Linked DNA regions of Drosophila melanogaster. The protein of the gene in region 1 purifies or fractionates together with the protein of each later gene. This does not show direct contact. Each region holds a gene or a part of one and is shown on either strand. Other genes may lie near its edges. The genes, in order: E(spl)m5-HLH and dgrn.

What was found.
Region 2: the proteins of E(spl)m5-HLH (region 1) and dgrn purify together in Drosophila melanogaster (affinity purification with western blotting, with the first as the bait; one study listed by BioGRID). This does not show direct contact.

What each region holds. Positions count from the first base shown.
Region 1 is NT_033777.3:26,019,857-26,031,411, forward strand, and holds E(spl)m5-HLH (enhancer of split m5, helix-loop-helix), read right to left. Parts: upstream 9,880-11,555; 5' UTR 9,797-9,879; coding exon 9,260-9,796; 3' UTR 8,998-9,259; downstream 1-8,997. Other genes in the region: E(spl)m3-HLH (enhancer of split m3, helix-loop-helix), read left to right, coding at 2,164-2,838; E(spl)m4-BFM (enhancer of split m4, bearded family member), read right to left, coding at 4,179-4,637. UniProt on the Drosophila melanogaster protein: Participates in the control of cell fate choice by uncommitted neuroectodermal cells in the embryo. Transcriptional repressor. Binds DNA on N-box motifs: 5'-CACNAG-3'.
Region 2 is NT_033777.3:5,822,667-5,835,454, forward strand, and holds dgrn (degringolade), read left to right. Parts: upstream 1-1,948; 5' UTR 1,949-2,282; coding exon 2,283-2,309; intron 2,310-2,366; exon of another isoform or gene 2,367-2,369; coding exon 2,370-2,778; intron 2,779-2,832; coding exon 2,833-2,922; intron 2,923-3,138; coding exon 3,139-3,572; 3' UTR 3,573-3,910; downstream 3,911-12,788. Other genes in the region: Sec20 (secretory 20), read right to left, coding at 1,039-1,641, 1,695-1,775; glob3 (globin 3), read left to right, coding at 7,488-7,681, 7,729-7,933, 8,493-8,684; CG1208 (uncharacterized protein), read left to right, coding at 12,641-12,685.

The DNA.
Region 1 (11,555 bases):
AAGCCAAACGGCTAACGGAAGTCATGGCCAGAAGACAAACAAACAGAGCGATTCTGCAGCATCATGGGAAATGCTTAGCCAGGCAAAAAGCACGGCCACAAAAAATAACTCCGAGGCGTCCAACCACAAGTGTCATATTGCTGCGATGGTGATAAAGTCGGCCCAACAGCAGCTGTGAAAAAAGGGGCATAAAAAACAGGCAACATTTTATACACTCAGTGCTGACCAGTAGCCCTGAGATCAGCGAATTAAAAGAAATATGTGGAGGACGGGCGAAAAACGAATCTTAGAACGACAACCGGATGTTAAAGTTTATTACGAAAGGCGACAAATGCCGAAGGGTTGGTAATCGGACTATGCAAAAAGAGTTTTATTTCTTTCATTTTGGAACCCCCAATGCGCCGAGATAGCGAAACTGTTACACTTAATCGATACGCTTCAACGAAAAGTCAACCCACAGCCCCAGCCATAGTGGTGGTTGTGCACTGTGAGAAATATTTGAAAACTTAAAAAAAAAAACTGATTACATTTGAATTCGGTTATAAGTAAAATATCAAAATATATATATTTTCCATTCTTCCGAAATGGGGTGATCTATATTTATTGGTAATTAACATAGTTGCTGTTATTGAAATTGTTTCAAATCTACTTTAAACTCCCAAAAAGACCGCACATTTTGTCCACGTGCAGTTGTCGCAGTCATCATCATCAGCCAAGCATGCGACATAATTGCGCGAGTTAAGGCTGCCCCTCCACCCAGCCATCCCTCACCAGTTCGCCCACTGCCCCCCATTGGCGGCTGACAGTCAACCCGCTTGAAATCAACCAGCAGCAACAGCAACAACATTTCAGCAATCCATCGGATCGCATCACAATCCAGCCATCCGTCCAACGTGTGGGAAACACACGACAAATCTGTTTCCCACGGTCTCGTAAAGTAGGCACACCGCACACACACACAAACACCCATCCCCATCCACTGAGCCATGGGACCCACAATCACATAGGCTACTGCCTCGTAGGCTCCCTCGTGTCTCATTCTCATTGTTGGTGTGAGCGGTACGGAGCAGCGGACTTCGACAGCGAATGGGAGCCGAGCACTGTCATCATTGACAATAAGTATGACATGGATGAGGGGGGATGGAGGGCGGGGTGGAGCGGCCTGAGAGACACGCGCAGTCGCCGAGAATGAGATCCAATCCGAAAGCCGACTGTCGACTGCCGACTGCTCAGTTTCCCTCTGGCCATGCAATCAATTGAAGACGACGCGCGCCAGAGCACCAAAGCTGCAGATACAGATACATTTGTATCTGCGGCGGGGCACGCTCTCGCTCGCTCCCATTGCATGCACCTTGGTTCGAAGTCGACTAGTTTCGGTTAATAATACTAATTTTGGACTAATAGTATTACTTTCAATAAGCAGATTTTACGAAAATAATTGCAGTTTTATTAACTTTGTAAGTGATTAATATTTTTTGAAATTGCTTTCTTTCAGGTCTTAAAATTTAGCAAATTTTTAAATCGTCCTTTTGGTTGAACAATTATGTTGCATACTTTTGAGAGTCATATAAAAAATAGTTGTAGCAAAATATAAAGAACACAAATTTAACACTATTGGAAATGAAAAATATTGATATTATATTCGCATTGCTAAAATGGATTATTTCTTATTTTTTATAATAAGCATAATTAAGAAGGTAAAGAGTTCCATGGTGATGGTCCCACTGTACCCCCTGCAGACGGTACAACCCCCATCATCGATGGCCTACAGTAGCCTCTCTTTGTGCCGCTGCCGAGCGCCGCTACCGATCCGCGACCGAAAAGAACCGAAGTGGAACTCGATCTTGGGCCCGAGTGCCTGGGAGCGTGTGTGAGTGATCATGCGGGAGCTTTGTGGCCGGGAGAGCCTGATCCCCGTTTGCCGGGAGAGCGTGGCTGTCATATAAAAGTAGGGCTGGGAACTAGTTTGCCACTCATTTCGTAAAAGTGCCGCCACTCGAACGCACCGCAATCGGTGGAACGCGCAACGCACGCGCAACAAACTCGTCAAAAAGTAACCAATCTATGAAACCAACCAAAATCAGTAGTGATAATGTGCAGTTGAGAGACTAAATACAAAAGAACAATCCTTAAAATACACAACATAAAACAACCCAATCGATCATGGTCATGGAGATGTCCAAGACGTATCAGTACCGCAAGGTGATGAAGCCGCTGCTGGAGCGCAAACGGCGAGCCAGGATCAACAAGTGTCTGGACGATCTCAAGGATCTGATGGTGGAGTGCCTGCAGCAGGAGGGCGAGCACGTCACCCGGCTGGAGAAGGCGGATATCCTGGAGTTGACCGTGGATCACATGAGGAAACTCAAGCAGCGGGGTGGTCTTTCGCTGCAGGGAGTAGTGGCTGGTGTTGGCAGCCCACCCACCTCAACCAGTACCGCCCACGTGGAGTCCTTTCGCTCCGGCTATGTGCATGCTGCCGATCAGATTACCCAGGTCCTGCTGCAGACACAGCAAACCGATGAGATTGGGCGCAAGATAATGAAATTCCTATCGACGCGACTAATTGAGCTGCAGACGCAGTTGCTCCAGCAGCAGCAGCAACAGCAACAACACCAGCAGCAGCAAATACCGCAATCATCAGGCCGCCTAGCCTTCCCGCTGCTGGGAGGATATGGACCGGCAGCCGCCGCTGCCGCCATTAGTTACAGCTCCTTCCTGACCAGCAAGGACGAACTGATCGATGTGACATCCGTCGATGGCAATGCGTTATCCGAGACGGCGTCGGTTAGCTCGCAGGAGTCCGGCGCCTCTGAGCCCGTCTGGAGGCCCTGGTAATTGGGCGTGCCCAATATGGATCTTATCCCTAATATTATAATCGCAACCCAAAAAAATGGCTATTGACCGTTCTGCAACAAGATCCGTTGTCTTCCAAAGTAAATCATATCAACCTAAGTTAATTGAGGTCTAATCGATTTCTGAATGGTTTTGAAATACTTTTAGTTTTAGTTCCGATAATGGTAATTTGTAAATTAATTGTTTAATTTCAACTGTGATATAACTAAAGTACGTTGATCAATCAATCAGTGAATATATATTCGAGTGCGCTATTTTCCTACTCCAAAAGTTCCCTAAGTTTAATATCTCGTTGCGCTCTCTTTATTGTTTAGCATATATTAAGCTTTAAATAATTTATAAATGTTAATTTATGATTAGTTGAGAAAGAATAATCAAAAATACACTACCCAAATAAAATAAATGATTTAAATTGAAAACACAATGTTTTTCTTTTGCGGGATTTCAAAATTTTATAAAATATTTATTTTGTTATATTAATAAATATAAACAAACTGAACGATATTATGCAAACCTAACGGAATACTGTTCATTCTTGTCCCAGTCCGCCAATGTTGTTTACTGCCCCAATAAATTACCTTTAATTGAACATCACCTCAAATGTATGCAACACATTTTCGACTCGACCCTGATTCATTCCCATAAGCAGATCATCTAATTGGAGCCTGTTCTTACCACCAATCTGATCGGCAATCAACAGATCCTCTCTACCTGCCCGATAACTGGTTGGCATTGTGGTCCAAATCAACAGGCCAAACAACAACCGTCAATATGCACTACCTGCTGGCAGGTAAATTGATCAACAATAAGACCAAAAAAGGTTCAGGATCGAATCGGATTAGGGTCCGCTCGTTTTTCAAATGAGTCATGCCAATTAAGAAAGGACTTCGCTCCCCATTTATTTTCTGTGTTGATTTGTAAACGGAAAATTGTTGGAACAATAAGGGGGAAACAAAGAATTTAGATTCCTATTCAATTATTTTTTTTTTGGGTGAAATGTAACACAATTTTTGGTAAAGATTACCAATTTCCAAATGTGTGATTTAAGAGAAGGCCCATTTCATACGATTTATCAATGATTAAAAGTAAAAAAAACAGTGGTTGATTTCATTTAAATTGTATATATATTTTGATTTTTTTGTGTTTGTTAAGTAAAATGTATCACAATTTTTGTAAAGCTCTTCAGTTGAGTTGATCGGCTTGCGTGTTAATTTTTGTGGAATGGTTTCAAAAATTAACGGAAGACGTTGATTAAAGCTGGAGATCCAATGGAAGACATAGTTGCCGGATGATGGATGCAGGTTGCAGGACGCTGATATTTTTTAGGCCTGAACCCAACGATCCTGGGGGATAGCGATGGCGTTGGAGGTGCTGCAGTAGAGGGGCTCGACGAGGTCGTTGTCGGCTGGCAAATCGGAGACGGCGGTCCAGAAGAATGTGCCGTGAGCGGTGCGGACGAAGTGAACGGGAACGGTGGGCAGTTGCTCGAAGTCGTAGTCCTCAATTTCGCAGGACTGGGAGAGACGCTCGTTGGCCTCGTTCTCGCAGGACTCCAGAGAGGCGCAGATGGAGGCGGATTCCAGATCGGCGTTGCGGCTGTTTTCCATGGATTCCAGAGACTCCAAAGAGTTGGCCTTGAGGGCGTTCTTGAGGTTCTGCTCCTCCTCGACGCGCTGTTGCTGCTTGAAGATCTTCTGCAGCAGTTTCTTCACGCTGTAGGACAGCTTCTTGTTCGATTTGATGGTCATGGTGTTGTTGGTGTTGATCTTGTTCTGGCACATGATGATGTGTTTTGGAATTTTGTGTTTAGCTGCTGTGTAGCTGAGATGTGTACTGTACGAAGCGTTGAGCTCGAATGATGCCTGATCCTCCGAGCCAGGGTCCTTTTATACTCGCCAGGACGTGGAGAAACCCGAAGCCGAGCAGGTCACAAAACACCGAGTGTGGGAAACTACAAGGATACGTGTCCCGAAAAATCCTATACACAGTGCGGATACATGGCGAGGCAACAACAAAAACGGCAGGTGTGTTTTTCGAAAAGGGACTGCATCGGCATTAACCTGCGTGCGTCGGAGTGTGACGGCATGTAGTGTCGCTCCGCTCGCACCTGTTGAAGGTGCGGGCAATTTTATCCTGCTGCAGGATCGTGAGAAACGAGACTTTCTACCAGTTCCCACAGTTTCGGTTCGAAAGGATCCTTTTTGACAAGGAGATTCGTTTTTTTCCCTTTTTCTGCCGATCACTTTTGGTTTTTATGTGCACTTATCTCATTATGTAGGCAGTGCGAGCGGGACGGACAATGATGGAGCCGGGGGGCGGGGGAAATCCGTTTTCCATTTCTCGAACACGTGTGCAGCTCGAGAACGTGGGAGAATATTTTCAATTTTCAACGCTCGAACGGAGGCGAACAATTAATGCCCGAAACCAGAAGATAAAATAGCTCAATAGGCAAACAATCCGTAGAATTTGATGGAGTAGGGGGCACACAGATCCCAGACGAGGGACCAGGAATCCTTAACTGCGAGCATTTAATGCGCTGTAATTTGAAATTTATCAAATTGTATGTGGAGGCGAGGCGTTGCCCGAAGGAGCGAGATGGCAAAGGAGCTGGAGGACAAGGATCGTCGACGAAGGAGTTGCTTTTAATTTCTGTTGCTGATGGCACACAATTAGCAGGGGACCGATTCGTATTATGATGGGTAAAAAATATGTAAGAGGGAAGGAGGAGCAGGACCACGAGTACATCGTTGGAGGAGCACACGCACAGCGAGCGCCTGATCTTTTTTGTGTGGCTCCTTCTTCTTTTTTTATTTGTGGATCGTTGATGGCGCGTGAGGCGCTGAAGCCAAGGTTTCCCAGGATTTCTTTCGGCTTTTTGTGTCTCGGCTCCCTCTGGATATCTTTGGCGTACTTAATGGATTGTCCTCTGACTTAACCATAAATATTTGGAACCCGGTGTGAGTTGGGACAAATTAAGCAGGACTCCTCGGTGAGAAGTTGTAGGCTGGCGTTAACAGATCGTCCTGGATCTCAGATCTATTGAACTGCTGTGGAGGTGATGATGATTATATGGTTGGCTTTGTTGGCTGGATGGTTGTTATAATGGATCGATGAGCGGGTCAAAGGATGGGATAATTGGTTTTATTGGTGGATACTATTGGATCCTTTACTTCGAAGAAAATTAGAGCACCAATGTAAGATAATTTGTAGTAATATAATTGTTATAATTTTGGGGATATCTGAAATTATGTTAATATTTTAAGTTAGAAAATGTGTTTTATGTTAATTGAATCCTCCTCCTTTGGGTAAAAACCAAAAAATTAACATAAATATGATATTATTTATTATTCATTTCAACAACATAGAATGGGTTCATAAAATGTAAGTCTCAATTCCAAGTTTGTACAGCTTCATTTTGTCCTCTAAAAAGACAATATGCTGGCAGAGAACTGGACCAATTTTCGGGATTAAGAGCTAAAGCCATTTCAATAAAGTCCCTCCTCTTTTTGTAGCTACAAAGTATCTTTTTAATATTGAGGCAGAATATTTCTATAAAATCCCCTGTGTTTTATCACAACAAGAGTTGCCTTCAATCTTTTGAATATCCTTTGCTGTATCAACAGTCCCAAATTATTGAATTACTTCCAGGAAACTGACCTTTATGGCCCTGGACGATTCTCCCAGTTCCTCGTATCGTTTTTGGTTGACTCATGCTACCGCATTATTCGGCCTTATTATGCACGGATTGTGTCGATCTAATTGTGTTTTGGTCCTTTAGTTTTTCGGTTGACTCATTGCCCCCAGTTTTCCTTCTGATGGTTTTTTTTTTGTGTTAGTTTTTTTTTTTATTCTGCACTTTATTGTGTGCCCACGTGCAGGGGCAAAACAAATAAAAATAGTTAACCATTTGGATGGGAAACCAAAGCCCCGCTGGGGGTCTTAAATTTTGGCTGCCCCTGCAGTGGTTTTTTTCTGGGTTTTCGGTGACTACTGTGGTGCCTTCTTTTTCTCCATCACTTTTCTATCTTCCAGGGAAATCTTTGGCCGAACACGTGCACTGATTTCTTATCTCAGCTCGATCATTTAAGGTTCCAAAACTGTGGATTAGCCCGACGCACACAAAAGCGGAGAAAGAGGAAAAAAAAAATAAAATAAAAATAAAATCAACCTGACCCTGGCTGTCCATTGTCTCCCTACCAAGTGTTCAAAGGGGGGTGGGAATGATGGTGTTTGTACACGTGACGACCTCGTTTCGCTCACAGCAGGGTGTTACGATCGAAACTGCGGCCCCGTCACGTCCCTCGAACCACCTATCCATCCACCTAACTATCCATCCAAAACCCATGTACATATCTACCATAACTACAGATAGTGCGGCAACGTGATCAACTTGCGAACGTGAAAATTTCACACATGTGCGTTTGATTGTCGACGGGAAAAGCCCACCGATCATTGAGGCCTTCCCTCCTCCTACGGTTTCCGCAGGTCCAGTTACACCGGACAGGACCTTCCACACCCACGCCGACCGGAGGATGTGCTAACTGCCCGAATCTGTTACGGTATTTCCGTTTACATTTTCCGTGGTCAGCAGCGTGAACATCAAACGAGGCGTGCGAAAAATTCCGTAGAACGAAAGATGATCTCTGCACTTGAGTTGAACAGACGGGCTAGTTGAGCTATAGGGATTTAGTCGGAGCCATGTGCACAACCGTAAGCATAACAATAACAAGGAATCGATAGATAGGTTCTAAGAAACTGAGATAATACGAATACTTGATGACCTCGAAAAAATTTAGCTTGAAATCCAACTATATATTATCAATATATAGTTATATTTGGTCGCACTTTTAATTATTCCTCTGATAGATTCTTGCCTTATAAATTAAAAACGATTACACTACTTTATTGCTGTAATTTAAAGTATGTGTTTCCATATTATATTGTTTCATTTTCAACAAAGAAGATATACCCAAGTCTTCATTAGAATTCTATCTGTGACCCGTACTTAAATTTAAATATGAGCTGGTGGACCTACGTGGCGGTTTCTTTGGTTTTGTAATGATAAAATAACATAGACAGTAATCAGTGTGGTGATGCACCACACATGTGGGGTCCTTTGGATCATCGAGTTACACAAAGACATTGCACTTGACACGAGGCAGCGAGACATGTCTTCTTATTTTTGGATTTTATTTTTTAGTTTACAAATTAGTATGTGCGTTGGTGTGTCGCATATGCGGGAGGCGAGTTCCAGGAATGCCGTGGCCATTGTCATTGTTGGTTTAGGATATCATCGATCCAAGCCTCAAGGAGTCCCGTTCCTCGATCCCCGCCCATCACTCAGCACGCACGTGCAGGGCACAAAAGCGGTCGTAATTGACGGTTTAACTCGATGGGCCCGGAACCTCCCCTGGCTGACAAACACGAGAGAAAAAAGTCCCAAAACGATATGTGAGCCCTGTCCAGGGGCTCGAGGGGTATGCAGATTCGACAACACTTTGCAACACGTGCAACACCACAGTGTTAAGCTGTTGATCGAGGCGTAGACAGGTCTGTGTCTTTTTTTGTCTCCGGTCCTCGGGGGCGTCGCTTGGCTAGGGGTTTGACTGGGTTTATGGCCAGAGGACCTCCTACTTGGACCCGGGGGAGTTCAACTCTTCGTCGAGGAGGTCGCAGCTGGGTTGTCAAGCACGGATCTTGTTTAGATCGATCATCAGGCGGGGGAGGTACTGCTTAATGTGTGTCTTTTACACAAAAACTGTGGAATTATTCTAATGAATTGCTCAACAAGGGTAATTATTTTTCAAAGAAGCAGAACAATATTCTTGACAATCTTATATCTACACAGAGAGGGATTACTTTCACTTGACATTGTCTCTTCAGAATTACAATTACTTGAATGTTCTGCAAAGTTTATTTTACTAATCTAAAATCTAAGCAAAATCTACAACACTCGTCTTGATCATCCATGATCATGATGATATTTTTGGATTTGATTCAATATTTTCTCCTTGTTTAAGATTTGTAACAAATAAATCATATTAGATTAATGAGATATCTGCAAGCCGAAAATCACAAAGCCAATTAGAATTTTGGCCTATGATTTTTGTTAATTTAAGTAAATAAATAGACCAAAGTATTAAGGTTTTTGTGTGTTTTGTATTTTATAACTATTAAAGCTGTTGTGTTGTTCTCTTAAAATAAATTCCTTAATAAACTAATAAAGCTTGAGGTGTGCTTATGATCTAGGTAAAGCTGTTATCACATTGTTAACGATTCAATTGGAAGACATGATTCGTTGCAGCAGAAGTTGCTGGTGGAAGACAGGATTCAATGTCGATGCTGAAGAAGATTCTTCAGCTGGAAGACTGGATTCGATGTCGATGATGATGGTGATGGTGATTTACCAAGGGCGCCACATGGTTTCTTCGACTGGCTTGGGGCTGGCGGCGGATTGAGAGTCCTCGTTATCGCTGTGGTATCCCGAGGAGGCGGGGCTGAGTGGGCGTGGGGTGGAGGTTGTAACAGAAGTCTGGACCTGATCGGCCTGCAGCATGCGCTGGAACTCGACGCCCAGATGGGTCATCACTGTCTTGCCCACATCCACACTCATGGCTGGAGTGCAGGCCATCACACGGGAGATCTCGCTGACGGCGTTCATGTAGCCATTCTTGAAGCTATCCATGGGAAGTGGGGAGACCGGCGCCTGCTGCTTGACGACCTGTTTGCGCATGAAGACGAGTGCCGCCTCCAGCATCTCGGCCTTGTCCATTCGCAGGATGGCATCATCGCCCTGGAACTCGGCCACCAAGGTCTTCAAGGTGTCCAAACACTTGTTCATGCGGGCCCGACGCTGGCGCTCCAAAAGGGGCTTCTTCACCTTCAAATAGTGCTGGGTCTTGGAGACGAATGTGGTGCTGTTGTTGCTCTGTGGTGCCATTTTGTAATGTGTTTTTTGTTTTGGAAGATTTGTAGAAATGTGCTGAGCTGATCTGAACTGCTTGCAGGATGCTGCTCGAATGATGCTGGATTCCTCGACTGCACCGGCTTTTATACCCGCAGCAGCCGCAGCAGCAGCAGTGTGGAGAAGGTCCTTGCTGGAGGACCTGCTACCTGCGAACACCGTAAAGATCTCGAAATCTTATTGCTATGCTGTGCGTGCGTGGGAAAGGAAACCAAGGAAATCGTTGTGCAAAGACTGAGTTTTCAGGCTGCTTTTCTTGGCTCCCTTTGTGTGTTTTATTCCTTTCAATTGTCTAGCCAAGGAGTGTGGGTCCTGGCGACGCATTGTAACTGCAATTAAACCGTAAAATGCTGGCCAAGACGTGGGAACGTGGTGCTCAGAATTGGGCCCAATTGTCTGCGACAAACTGATTCGGTTTGGGCCAGCAAATGAAAATCAAACTCGGTAAAATTGTAATTGTCTTGTTGTGGCTTACTGATCTTTGGATCGCTGAAAGGAAAGAAGGAGGATCGTTTAGATCCTTTAGCCAGTTTCAAAACTAAATATGGGATGTTAGAGGTTGATGTAATCATGGATAGCAAACACTTATACCTCAATAAGGAATCAAATAGGTGGATACAAAGTACATAAAATTTTAGGGATTCGTCATCTGCTCATGCAAGTAATTATAAAATCCAATTCATTACAAACAAGCACTTAGATATATGTCCTAGTCATGGTTTTTTAGGGTCCCTTCACCATCATCGCTGCCCCATAAATCCTGACCCAATGCTCGCCCGATCCCCATGCACACTTTACTGACAACCCTTAACGCTAACCCCAATCCCCATCCCAGATCCAATTCGAATCCCGAGAAAGTGGCTGTCACCGTTGTTAGGGTCTTGAGGGGTCTTTCCGTTTGTTTTGCTCGATTTTCATATCGTGAGAACCGCTCGAGACGCGTCGTGTGTTTCCCACGCGATGTGCACACCTGCCATTTAAGACGCTTATATGGTTACGATTACAGGCACGGATACACGGAAAGCCAGCGAGACACAGATACTCCACACAGACAACCACTTGGCCGTAAATATACAGAAGCAACAACCAGATGAGGGCACACATTTATCTGTCGGCACACATTTATTGCGCCGGCGCGACGCTTATTATCAGCCCAAGTAGCAATCGTCGTGTGAGTGACTGATGCACTGACGGATTGACTAAACTGCTCGACTGAATGACTGAATGACTGCCGGACGGACTGACTGACTGACTGACTGGCGAACTGAGAAACCGACTGATTACTGCCTGCTTTACTTTAGTTTTTCACTCTTGTCGCCGTCATTGACGATTGTTTAATTTAAATTGCCGGCTACCAGTCGGCGGGCTTAATGATTATGGCCGGGCCCAGAGCCAGAGCCAGAGTTGCCATCCAAGTTCCGTGGAACTTGTACGCAATAGTTATTTGTACTTTACGACATGGGCTAATTGAACGAACGCACCCGCAGAAGAAGTTTAACGAGCCGTCTGTCATTGATTGAAGTGGTGAATGGGAGTTGCGGGGACGTGGGGATTTGGCCTGTCAATGGGCAATCAAATCATTAACGTATCCAAGGTGAGTGAGAATCCCCAGTAGCAGTGACCAGCTAACTGACAGCCACTGGATGGATTTCAATGATCCCATCGCCTGACTTACGTCGTCCGTTCGTGGACCAATCCTTTGAGGGATTTATGTATGCCGGACCACCAGTTTGTT
Region 2 (12,788 bases), about 20 Mb from region 1:
GAAGAAACGAATTTACATGGTACATATTAGGGTAGTTTTTGCCAATTTCCTAGCAATATGATAAAATAAAAAATTTTTAAAAATTCGCGCCCTGGCTATTATAATTTTAAAGCTTTTTTAAATTTCTTTGTTAAAATCGCCGCTCGAATTAGCTACCGTTTACACATTTGTATTTATGTTTAATTCTAATTTGTCTCTCATCTGACAATTTTTTAAAACCGAAATATTTTTTTTGAAACACTTTTAATGTTAATGTTACATCATATTAAGTCAAATGATTTAATAAATATACTAAATAATTAAATATGCAATTAAATTAAATTGCAAAAGTAATATCAAAGACAATAGAATTATTCTAGTGTCTTTGCTTTGTTCATATCTTGAGGCACGAAGTGCGGACACAAGCACTCAACAATCATTGCCTTATTAATTTTTCACACGCCGCAAGATGAATACTCTAATGACAAATATTCTTATATAAATTCATTTTTGAAATTTATTTTTGTGATAATATGTACATAGATTTGACTATTTCTAATCTATTTTCAAATAATAATAACGTTAAGGCAATGCAAAACAAGAATTTTTCGCATGGTGCCAATTGATAAAAAATAATATAGATTTAAAGCCAAAGAACTTCTAAGGTGAAGGGCATATTTTGTCAAATTTACAATGCATGTGAATACGTGTGCACACATACAGATGTCTGCTATCACTTTGTGCGTTGAAAAGAGCTGTTCGCTGTAGCGCTCTTCGCTCTCTCGCTCTCTAACAAAAATTCGAGAGAGCCTGGAGCCACCTCTAGAGCCACGGCCAAAAAATCGTGTGCCAAAAAATCGTATGGCGTTACGCATCTTGTTATTCTAGGGTCTTTGGCTGTACCACGTTTACAACTTAGGCAAATCACTAAATAATATAAATATAGGAGCTGTGCTTACAAGGTATGGTCATGTGCTAAGCTTAATCTAGCTATACCTAGACAACAGAAGCGACAACCTTAAGCTATTTTGGGAACGGGTTTTGTCCATTTGTGGAGTCTTAGAAGAGTCGCTTTTGGACGATGTAAAAGACACAGGCGAGGAACAAGGAGAAGGCGAAGAAGAGCAGCATTTTGTCAGTGCACTCGCGTCGTCCGTACTTTTTGAGCAGCTTGCCGGACATGCTAATGCTGCCGGCCGTGTGGTGCAGTTCGTCGCTGGTGGCCTCCACATTTTGCGACGAGGCCACGAGCGTTTCCAGGGTGATGGCGCTCTTCTGGGTGGTCTCCGAGAGGTGCCGCGATATAGCCAGCATCTTCTCGGTCACGTCGTTCTCCTGCGAAACCAGACTGCCCTGGTTGTGCCGCGCCCGTGTTGTGGTTCGTTGGCGTAGCTCACTCTCGCCGGTAATGGCCATTAACTCCTCCCGATTGGCCTTCTCGATCTCCAGCATCGTGGACACGTTTGCTTTTCGGAACGCCTGCAGCGTTTTGGAGAACTGATCACGGTGGTCGTCCACTTCATTGGCCAGCGCAGAGTCTGCCGTGTCCCGCGCCCAGTCGTCCAGCCGCTCGATGCTTTTGCGGATAGCAGACAGTTTGGAGCGGCCCGCTTCGTTCAGCTCCTCGAGTTCGGCGATGGAGGTGCGGCTGTTCAGGATGTCCTAAAAACAGAAGCTCGGTAATGAGGGTTTCTCTTCAGATAGCGGAGACTTACGTGTATTATTGCCTTAGCCTGCAGATTGTTATCGATAAGGTCCTGCCGTATGGCCTGTAATGTAAACGCATCCTTGTCCATGTCTCCAACTTTGTTTTGTTTCGAAAATATTCTATTATTCTGCTTTGGTGACGTGCATTTAACGTTAATTCCCGCAATTTTCTAACACTACCACGGCACGGTATATATCGATGGCATTTAATCGCCTAAAAAATATCGTTTACATAGTGATGGTATGGTTTTGTAATGTCGACATATTTATATACATTTCTTATAATTATTTTGTTATCAAAGAATTTCGCCGAAACGGAAATTTTATTTTTAATAAATTATTGATTTTTATTGAATTACAAGTGTCATTCTAAACAGCATTGTATAATACCGCAAAAATCGATAGTCGATCTTAAATCCTTGTTCCCGAATGTCCGTAAAGTGTCATCTTTAAAATAACCGAATGGTCGCGTGAAAGGAGGAAACTATTTTGCACATTTCAATCTGCACTAAAGCACATGTATATCTGGGTTCACCTGCTTTTGTCTTTACTACGAAATCATTTCACAAGTTTCCTGGTCATTTGTTGCTCGAACAATGTCAGATTCGACTATTTTCCGTTTTGTAAGTATACCCTGGACTTTAAACTAGTTAATTCCGATTTATGATTGATTTATTTAGTAGAACTCATCCATTCTTGATCAGTCAGCGGACAGCAACGTATCCAGTTCGAGCTCCAATTCCAGTGTATCCGACTCTTCTGTGGACTCCCATTCATCCATAGAATCCAATTCGGGACACAATACATCCGTGGAATCTCAGTCATCCGCGGAATCTGATTCATCCGCTGATTCCCATTCGTCCTTGGAACGCCCATCCCCAGTGGAGCGTGATTTATCTGTGGAATCAGACTCATCTTCAGCCACCAATACCAGCGAATCTTCAGTCGGAGAAGCTTCAAACCAACTGCAGTCACCGCAAAGCAATAACCCCTTAAATATGGCTAACTTGTCTGTCTCGACTGAAGATGCTCATTCGCAGATCAGATCACTTACCCAGGATGTGATCCAGATGGAAGCAGAGTTGGATCGCAGTATGTCACTCCATAATCATTACGAAGTTTTCTGTTAATTGTTTCATATTTCAGTGAATCGCTACTGCGAGGAAGTTGTGGCACAGATTGACACCTTCGCCACGAGAACCTCAACGCCAACAACTCGTAGAATTCGCCGCAGAAGTAAGTGCAGATCAAAATGAACGCATCTGGGTTTCACAATGAACAATGTTTTTAATTCCACAATAACCAATGACATAGTTCTTTCTATAACCCTGCCGGGTTACTTACTTTTGAAGGCAAAATTTATCTATATTTTTTAAAATTTTGTGAAAACCAGATAGCTTTCGCGGATAGAGCTAGCAATAAACCGAATACCGTTTCTTACTTTTTCCGTAGCGAGTCCAGTAGAAGTGATAGATCTGTCCCATTTGGACCGTGCACCACCTGTTCGATCCGCTCGGAATCGTGATCCCGATGCTTTCATCGATCTATGCACCCCCGAAGGCCCAAGAAGTCGCACAGTGAATCTTCACTCCAACGACTCCCTCACCATTCTGCCACGTCGGTCAGCCGAAAATGACCCGGTAGTGGATCTCGACGTTGCGTCGCCACCAAAACGCGTTAATCGCGACATTGATGAGTCCCAAAAAGAGGAGTTATACAAGTGCCCCATCTGCATGGACAGTGTATCGAAGCGCGAGCCAGTGTCAACCAAATGTGGACACGTCTTCTGCCGCGAATGCATCGAAACAGCCATCAGAGCTACGCACAAGTGCCCAATATGCAACAAGAAGCTGACCGCACGTCAATTCTTTCGCATTTACTTGTAAGTTGCTTATACTATTTCACATTTTTTGCTCTGTGAGCCTTAATATAATATAGTTTAAAAAAAAACGCTTAACTATGTTAGAGACGGCAAATAATGTCTGTTCTTGTGATTCAGAAAAAATTAGTTATTTAAGTTGTCCTATGTAATCAGTGGCGCCCAAAAATATTTGAATACAACTATAAAAACTAAAGACTTCACTTTTGATGTATGAAACCATCTCAGGCTAGAATAATATAAGAACGACCGAAAGGAGTGTCAAAGTATTATGTAGGCATTTTTCCAAACGCAATTTAACAATGTAACATACATATAATATAATAAATAAAATGGTCCCAACGCATATCAACAGGTTTGTCTCAATCTCATTTTTTATTGTTGGCTACTATTTTTTGAGACAGAAGTCAGACATGGAATTCTGAGATCATTAAAGGGTCGATAAAACAGGATAAATTGGAAACAGGTGGAACATGAAGTGTCTTTAAAGAGACTTTTTCCCTCCAATTTTGTATATATATAACAATATATTTTTTTTTTTTTAAACTTCATTCTATTTATTTTGGTTCCAAAAGGAATCGTTCGGTCAATTCCTCTGAACTTAACCTTATGTGTGTATAAAGGTATATTAGACCAAGTGGTTTCTTAATTATTAAGTACAAAAGGGAAAATGTATCTAGTTATTAATTACTTATTGTGTAAGGGTGTAGGGAGATCGGTGGGGTGTACCCTCTTCAGCCTTCGGAGGGAGATGGGATTAGATAGGCTATTTGCTAGTCGGTTCGGGTGGACCATAAGCCTGTCGGCATAACGGCTGCTGTGAAAATTAATCTGATCCCCAAGAGGGGTAACTTTCAGATCTCTTTCGATTACCTTGTTTGTCACGTACCAGGGGAGCCCAAAAGCACGACGTGCAGCTCTCGACTAGACGACACGGAGCCTATTGAGCTGGGATTTGGCGGCAGTTCCCCACACCTGGATGGCATAACTCCACGTTGGAGCAAGTATGGCTTTGATTAAAAGAGCCTTAGAGCTCACTTGTAGTTTGCTGGAGTGGAAGAGCCAGTCGAGCTTTTTTAGCTTCGCCAGTGACTAAAATTTGACCGACGTGATGTGGGCCCTCCAGGTCAGTCTCCGATCTAGATGAACTCCTAGGTAGTGCGATGTGACATTGATGATGGAGTTTCCATCAAAAAGTTCCGGGCCACAGGGTAAAAGTTCGCAGGCTGACTTCGAGGAGTTAATGGCCACATTCCATTTGGCAGTCCATTTTTCGACTACATACAGCCATTCCTGGACTGCGTTGGAGGCAGTTTACAGTACAGGATGAGACGCCAGCATGGCGGTGTCATCGTGGCCAGGAGCAGCTGATCCGGGGAGACTTCGGTGTTGTTGGCGGGAGATGGCAGGTCGGCAGTGTACAGGGTGTACAGGAAGGGCCCAAGAACACTTCCCTGTGGAACTCCTGCGTGAATCTCTTCCAGGCTGGACCGAGCATCACGCACTGCAAGGTCGAAGGTCCGATGAGAGATGAACGATCTCAGGATGGCATAGTAGGGAGCAGGAAGGAGAGCTTTCATCTTGTATAGAAGTCCTTCATGCCACACCCTGTCAAACGCTTGCTTCACGTCTAGAAAGACGCCGACCGTGTAGAGTTTGTGCTCGAAGCCATGCGTCACCTGGTTTAACAGTCGATGTATTTGTTCAGGGCAGCCGTGGAACTTCCTGAAGCCAAATTGGTGTCGAGGTATGTGGTTCACTACTTGCGGCAGTTCCATCAGGCGGGCTAAGAGTATTCTCTCAAAAATCGTGGAGAAAGTTTATAGCAAGCTGACTTGGCGATATGCATCGATCTTCGTTGGCGGCTTTCCGGCTTTAGGTATCATTATGATACGTGCACGCTTCCATTACCTTGGAAAGTGCCCTAGCCTTAGGATGACATTAAATATTTTTACTAAGGCTAGAGCTCCTTTGCGTGGCAGAGACTTCGCAGCACGGTTGTCGATGCCATCCTAACCAGGGGTTTTCTCGATTTCTTGATTTGTAGCGCCTTCAGCTGCATCATGACTTCCGGCGGTGGGGTATGCCTAATGGGGCGAGCCGGTGCAGTCGGAGTGTCCAGAAAATTATTGATGGCTACGCGGTTTGAGTCGTCTGTTAGGTTGAAGGGCATGAAGGTGGAGGTCAGGTGCGAAGCAAATGTCCTCGCTTATTCATCGTCCGTCTTAAGCCAGAGGCCACTGTGACTCTGGACGGGAGATTGAAACAACGGCTGTCTCTTGATACCTCTTGTGAGCCTCCATAATGAAAAATTGCTGTTGTTATCTGGGCCAGTACCCTCCAGCAGGGTATCCAGATTTTCTCGTCGTGTCCTGGCTAGCAAACGCTGCAGTTTGTTAGTGGTGCTAGAGTATAGCTGCTTAATGCTAGGATCTCCTGTTGCGATGTACCGTCTCCTGAGGCGCCTTTTGTGGGAGAGCAGCTCCCTCCTTGCGGTCGTGTGACGAGCTTGATGTGGGGGAGGTGTGGCCCTCTGTGCTGCTTCCGCGATTGTGGCTGCGAGGTAATGTACGTACGCTTCCAGACTATTGCAGGTGTCTATGGGGATTGAGATCTACTGTGGCCTCAATGCTCCTTGAAGGCCACAGTATTTGCAGTAGGTGACAACATTTTTGTGACACCTTTGAATACCTGGGCGTCTTCATCCAGCTCAAACAGCAGGGGGAGATGGTCAGATGACAGTAGTTGCACGTTAATTTCTTGCTGTCTGAATCCTTTGGAGATCCCGAAATCGATGGCACTTGGAGTGGCACTTGCTCGAAAGGGATAGCAAGTAGCTTCTCCAGTTGCAGCGATGTCGATACCTTCGCCCGCCAGAGCAGAGAACAGCACCCTGCCTCTCGTGCGCATCCTGTAGTTTCCCCACCATCTGTGCTCTGCGTTCCAGTCACCTGCCGCAAGGAACTTTGTGCCAAATTGAGCGATGATCAGCTCGACGTCAGCCTCCGTCCACCTGAGATTAGGAGGGCAGTACACCGAGGCAATGTTAAAAGTACCCCTGCTTGCCGTCAGCTGGATAACTGCTGTCTGGATGTGATTTTCCGACAGGGTGGAGAAGGGTTGGTGGGAGACGAGGGATCTGATAAGGATCGCTGCACCTCCGCGTTTGCTGTCATCCGGGTGGTTGGCAGTGTGGTGGGTAAAGACAGGAACTCTGAAGGTGGACCGGGAAACGAAATGGGTTTCCGACAGCAGGAGGACGTCGATTTCGTAAAGCTCGATGAAGGCGAGAATCTCATTGGTCTTCGAGGAGGCCCCATTGGCATTCCAAGCTGCTACCTTAAGAGGACCCATTTTGAGCAGCAGAATGGAAGGTGCGAGTTTGCAGGAGCAGTTGCATTAGCGTTTCAACTAGTGACATCATCCTTGTCAAGCCTAGAAAACAGCTGCTCGAGCTTAGACTCAAGGTAAGCGCTTGCATGGGGGACAATAACGGCAGGCGACGGGCTGACTTCGTCTCACAATATTTGCAAATGAAGGCTTTCCAGACATGTGGGCTGGTGGACAGGGTTGGTGTGGTCCTCTTGCAGGACCAGAAACAGAGGGTTCATTGACCTTCCGTTGGTGTTTGCGGTTAGAAGCCTCTAGCATGTACTTTTTGCAACCTTTAAAGTTGGCTGCATGGGGGAATTTTTTAGAGTAAAATGTTTTTATGATCTAAGAATCTTGTCGAATAATGGCTTGTTTTTCATATGGCGGTCAAGTTTAATGAAATAATTTAAAATCCTTTAAGTATGCTATGGAAAATCTTGTCTTAGCTATTTAAAATCAATCTACACATTTTTTATGTTTTTTTCATTGCTCGTATTTGTTTCTCTTTTGTTAAGATTACTATCGATTTGGTAAAAATAAACTAAATTTAATGATGAGTGAAGAAGTAATTGCTAAGAACATTTCCTTGTCAAGTCTTACCTACCCAAAGCGTATACCAAAGATTAAGTTCGGTCCTATCAAGGACGAAATGGGTTTCACGCTCAGCGAAAGATTGGCCCTCAGACAGGCGTGGAACTTGGTCAGACCCTTTGAGCGGCGCTACGGTCAGGACGTATTCTATAGGTGGGTTTTCTTTTGACAAGATCATGCCTGAAAAAATTACTTGACAGCTTCCTAAATGATTACTATTGGGGTATTAAGAAGTTCCGGAACGGAGCTGAGCTCAACGTGAAAGCCCTGCACTCGCATGCCCTGCGATTTATTAACTTTTTTGGACTTCTAATCGAGGAGAAGGATCCAGTAGTGTTCCAGCTGATGATAAACGACAACAACCATACCCACAATCGCTGCCATGTGGGCTCCGTTAATATTGGGGTAAGTGTGATTCAATATACAATTCCTTACTCAAACTTTAACAAAATCCTGGACAAATTGTGTGACAAGAATATGCGGCCATCAATGCGTCACTTCATTTTATTTAAAAACAGGAAGCTGCTACTCACACATTTTGTTTTTCCAATTCAACTGTAGAAAAGGAAAAAATATATTGTATATGTTGTTTATGAGACATTCACTTTAAATTTTAAAATTAAGATTGTAATCACACAATTCGACAATTCGTTTTGATTGTTTTTAAGAATGATTATCACCTTTTAAACTTATATTATTATTCCAAAGGTTTGCCTCTCCCTTTGCAGGGGTAAAAACTCAATAGAATATATATGGTATTTCAGAAACTGAATAAACATCTAAATAATAATAAGTAACAATGTTACTCATTGCCTACTATTAATCATTTTATAATCTATAGGATTCAATATTGTGGATGATACATAGCATGTTATTTTATAATATACACCCATATTTTAGCGATTATCATGTTAAATAAGTACAAACTTTTCCCAAATTTTCCCTTTCCCCATGTAACCAACAGCATCTGGCCCAGGCCCTGGTGGACTATGTGCTAAAGGTGTTCCATAAGGTCAGCTCTCCATCGCTGGAACAGGGTTTGAGCAAACTCGTGGAGAAGTTTCAGAACTACCAGGACCAGCAGTCGAATACCTCCGGATACAATCGCCTGAGCAAGGTTAACTTTGATTCACGACCGCCCAGAGGTAACCCATAGGAAACCCAAAGGAAACCTAACGAAACCCAGTGGCAACCAATAGGAAATTCATAAGAAACCCAAAGGAAACCCATAGGAAACCCAAAGGAAACCCAAAGGAAACCCAGTGGAAGCCCAGGCCATGAATCGTATTTGGAATTATATCGGGCTGCGTCATTCTGCCGCTGTCTCTGCCGCTGCTACTGCCTCTGCCACCGCGATATCAGGCTTCTAGTATCAGCCTCTGTCGCTGTCGCCGACGCAGTGGGCGCTCATTTCGCTTAGCTGCTAAGCGATTTCCTTGGAGAAATTCAGTTCAGCTCGGACGCTCGTCGCGCCATCCACACGTTTCGATAGTTAAGCCTTTCAGGGAACTGGAGCGATCGAAAAATTGGCAGTAGCAAAATAAACACTAATAAAACGAACATATAACCTCGCATTTGCGGGTTAATCGGCTAATCGTCTAAATAGTGCTGTTTTGGAAGTTATTGAAACATGGTGGCTACCGAGGAACTTAAAACGGTAATTGAACTAACCAATTTTGAATTGCTCTAGCACTAGATCTGGGTTTTAAGTGTAAGACGCAAGGGCAAAGATGAACGATAAAAAAATGTATTACGCATACGACATGCTGACCAGTAAATTTGGTAATATTGGAGCGAACATAGCTATTAATAAACGAGAAGCGGCACATGGCTAAGATTAGAAATTCATTATAAATGAATTGCTTTTCTTCAGTTTTAAGTATCCGATTGTCAAGTAAAGGCCTTTTCAAGGGCACATAAGCACAATTTGTTTCCAAATTAAATACAATTTTAAGAACTGGACATATTTGTTCAGATGAATAGAAAAAAAAAAACACTTTCTTAATTATTAAACTTAGTACATAGAATTCTATTAATTACCATGAGCCTCTTGAGCTTTGTTCTTAGGCACTTAGTACTCCTCAATTACCATACTAAAAATGTGGGCTACCTTTTTAATTAGCCACTTAAATTTGCATTTGTTGTCGCAATCTATAATAATTTATTACCTACTAATTGCGAAACGATTTCGAAGTGGGCAGCAAAAATATCTAATCGAACTAAGGCTCCTCGCGAAGAAGTGTACGCCAAGTTGAAGATTTATAAAGCCTGCCCCCTGAACAGTTTTGTTTACGGTTGCGCCTGCTAGGTAACCAAGATCTCCAGCTCTTATCGGTAGCCATAAACCAATGATTAGAGAGGGCTTAGAGCCCCAGGATCAAGAGTTTTGTACTTGGGGGGTGGTACACCACCCTATCTTGCCCTTGGCACTGGGACAGACTGCGCCGATCGAACGGTGGCCACTCGAGAAGACCGCTCAAGTGGCTCTTACCAGGCGATTGGGCATTGGGAAGACGTACACCCGTAACTGAGCACGGGGCCAATAGGCTGCTATCGGGGAGCCGGGAAGATCGTCAAGATTTCGGAAGGAGTAGCAGCTGCGATAGGCGTGCGGTTCACGCAGCCACTAACTGCTTTCGATAATGGCCAATTAGCTGTCCACCTTTGGACGTGACGCTGTGCTCTTTGGCTTCAGATTCCCAAAAGTTCGGGCTCTAGCCTGCCGCCGTCAAGTAGTGATTCACTTTTTGGCTGATAAGACCAGGCGTGTTTTGGGTTTTTGGCCACTGCCACAAAGTGCCAGCGTGTTTTATCAAATCGGCTAGTAAAACACACAGCAATCATTGCAGCAATATAATATAATGATCATAATTCCAGTCGCGTGCCAATCAATTGTTGTTGTTTATGCTCTCTGACATATTTACTCAGCGTTTATCTGGCCTGCACTGAACTGTCGGGCAATCTGCGGGATACAAATAATAATATTTACATATCAATAAGTTGTAGCGTTTCATGGCCAGTCGCATCCGGTGAAATGTTTCGTTAAACGTTTGGATTCGATGTAAATTCGCCGCCCAGTTCATCTCTTCGAAGTGTCTCGTTTTGCTTTCCTACTTCCTTATAATAAGGTGAAAATCAGGATCTATTCTAAAGAAGGAATCCGATCTTGCACAAATGTTTATATATAAATAAAATATTCATTGTAGCTCCTTATGAATAATGTTTTGCACATATAGCAAACCAAACCACCATTTTAATAAAACTATTTAGGACTATACTGTGCAACTTCCTCTATCGAAGCATAGCAAACTTTGCGGGGTATGGAATAAATTCGCTTAGTATTAAAGCCCTTAAAGTATTTAATTTGGACTTGCTATCCCATCGAGACCCACTAAACCCACCATAGGAGTCTATAATCCGTGAGAAAGAAGCTTTGCCATTTTCACCCATCTATATTTGAATACCAGGGCACACCTTGCAACAGAAGCGACTTCCATGGGTAAACAATATCGCTTTAATTACCGCATGGGCAAATGACTTGAGCGAATTAAGGGAATTGCGTCAATAAAAGATATTGTCTAACGACTGAGTGAGCTGCAATGGCGCGGGCCACGATAAAGACAAGTAAAATGTGGGCTTGTGGGCGGAAGCATAGAGCGTAAGGCCATCATCCATTGGTATGGATGGGGGCAGGTGCTTGGGAACGGGCCTCCCAAGTGCATCGGCACATGGCACAAGGTACTCGCTGAACTTGACGTCGGAAAGTGGGAGAAAACAGCAAAAGGCGAGTGCAGAAACAGAGTAAACAGAGCACAGCAAGCGAGGCAAGCTTATTAGCATGTGTTGTGCGTACACTGTGCGAAATTTCACGTCTAAATTGGATAGTGTATTGCGCAGATTTAATAGCAGATTTCTCGACCGCTTTTAGGTGGTTTATTATCGTTGGTTTATTCTTAAATATTTTTGATTTTTGATCTTAAACCAGTTCCATTTTGCAATATATTTACAAGGCTTTTTTCTCACTGTTTGGTGGGTGTGTCAGTCGTATCGTTCTGACCCCCTCTCGCTGTCTCCGTCGCACTCTGGGACCTCTCGCTCGCACCGCCGTCGAGTGATCGACTTGTTTGGGTGCGAATGCGGCGACAGGTTTCTTTTGGCATGCACTTGACGCCATTAAGATGCACCTATGTACATACGTGTTTCACTTTATAATTAGAAATTCCGCCTTAATAACATTTTAAGCGGGCGCCTGCCTAGCCATCAAGGAATCAACTGTGAAAGGGGCAATCTCACGTGGTTGTCATCTAATCGATGACCAGCTTCTGTCTACGGCCCGAGAATAGACGACGAATTTGGTTCCCGATGCACTTGGAAAGTGCACCTCAAACGCACCGAAATGCATTTAGCAAATTAATTTTAACTGTCGGAAGCATTCGTTTGCTTGGGCTTTGCTCGACTTGGTTGCGGTGGCGTATGCGTAATATTTGCGTGGATTCACATAAGAAGTCATTTGATAGCCAATTAATATGACAATGTCATTCGGTAGCCGGTGGGTAATCGATTACTGGGATAGTTTTACGAATACTTCCAACAGGTTGTTTGTTTATTTGTTAGCATCCTATTTCAAGAATAAATCCATTTGCCTCTGACGTAAAACAAAAGATTCGAATGCATCTGATTCGCGTAATCTGTTGGCAGTTCAACGAAATGCCGACAAAAGTCTCAGATAAAATAAAAGTTCTATGCACAATAGAAGAATCTTCGCCAAGCATCGAGATGAAAATACGTTTTTTCGAAGAGACCTCCGGTTTAGTCTTTTCGAGGTGTTTGCACGAGACAATCCACTGCCCCAGAGGCAGCCATTAAAATTAGCGGAAAAATCAAAACAATAATACACAATACATAATAACAATACATATACAAAGAAACGCACTGCTAAGATAATTAATGAGACTCGATAGAAATAAGTGAAATACATAATCCGATATATACAAACCATAAAACAGCGTTTTTTACACCACAAAGAGTCGTCAAATTTGGCGCAGTGCGTTTCGTCTGCGATCGTCTTATATAAGGCGTTGCTAAAGAACCCGGAAATCGGCCGAATCTCGAATGGATTCGGAAAAAGTGGTCCGTGCAATGGCTCGTTGGTGGCAGGTAAATATCGCAGCATTGCATTTTAGAGTTTGTCGGACAAATGTAACAATATATATATATATTTTTGTGTGTTTTTAAATGAAAAAGTGCTTTAAGTAAGAAG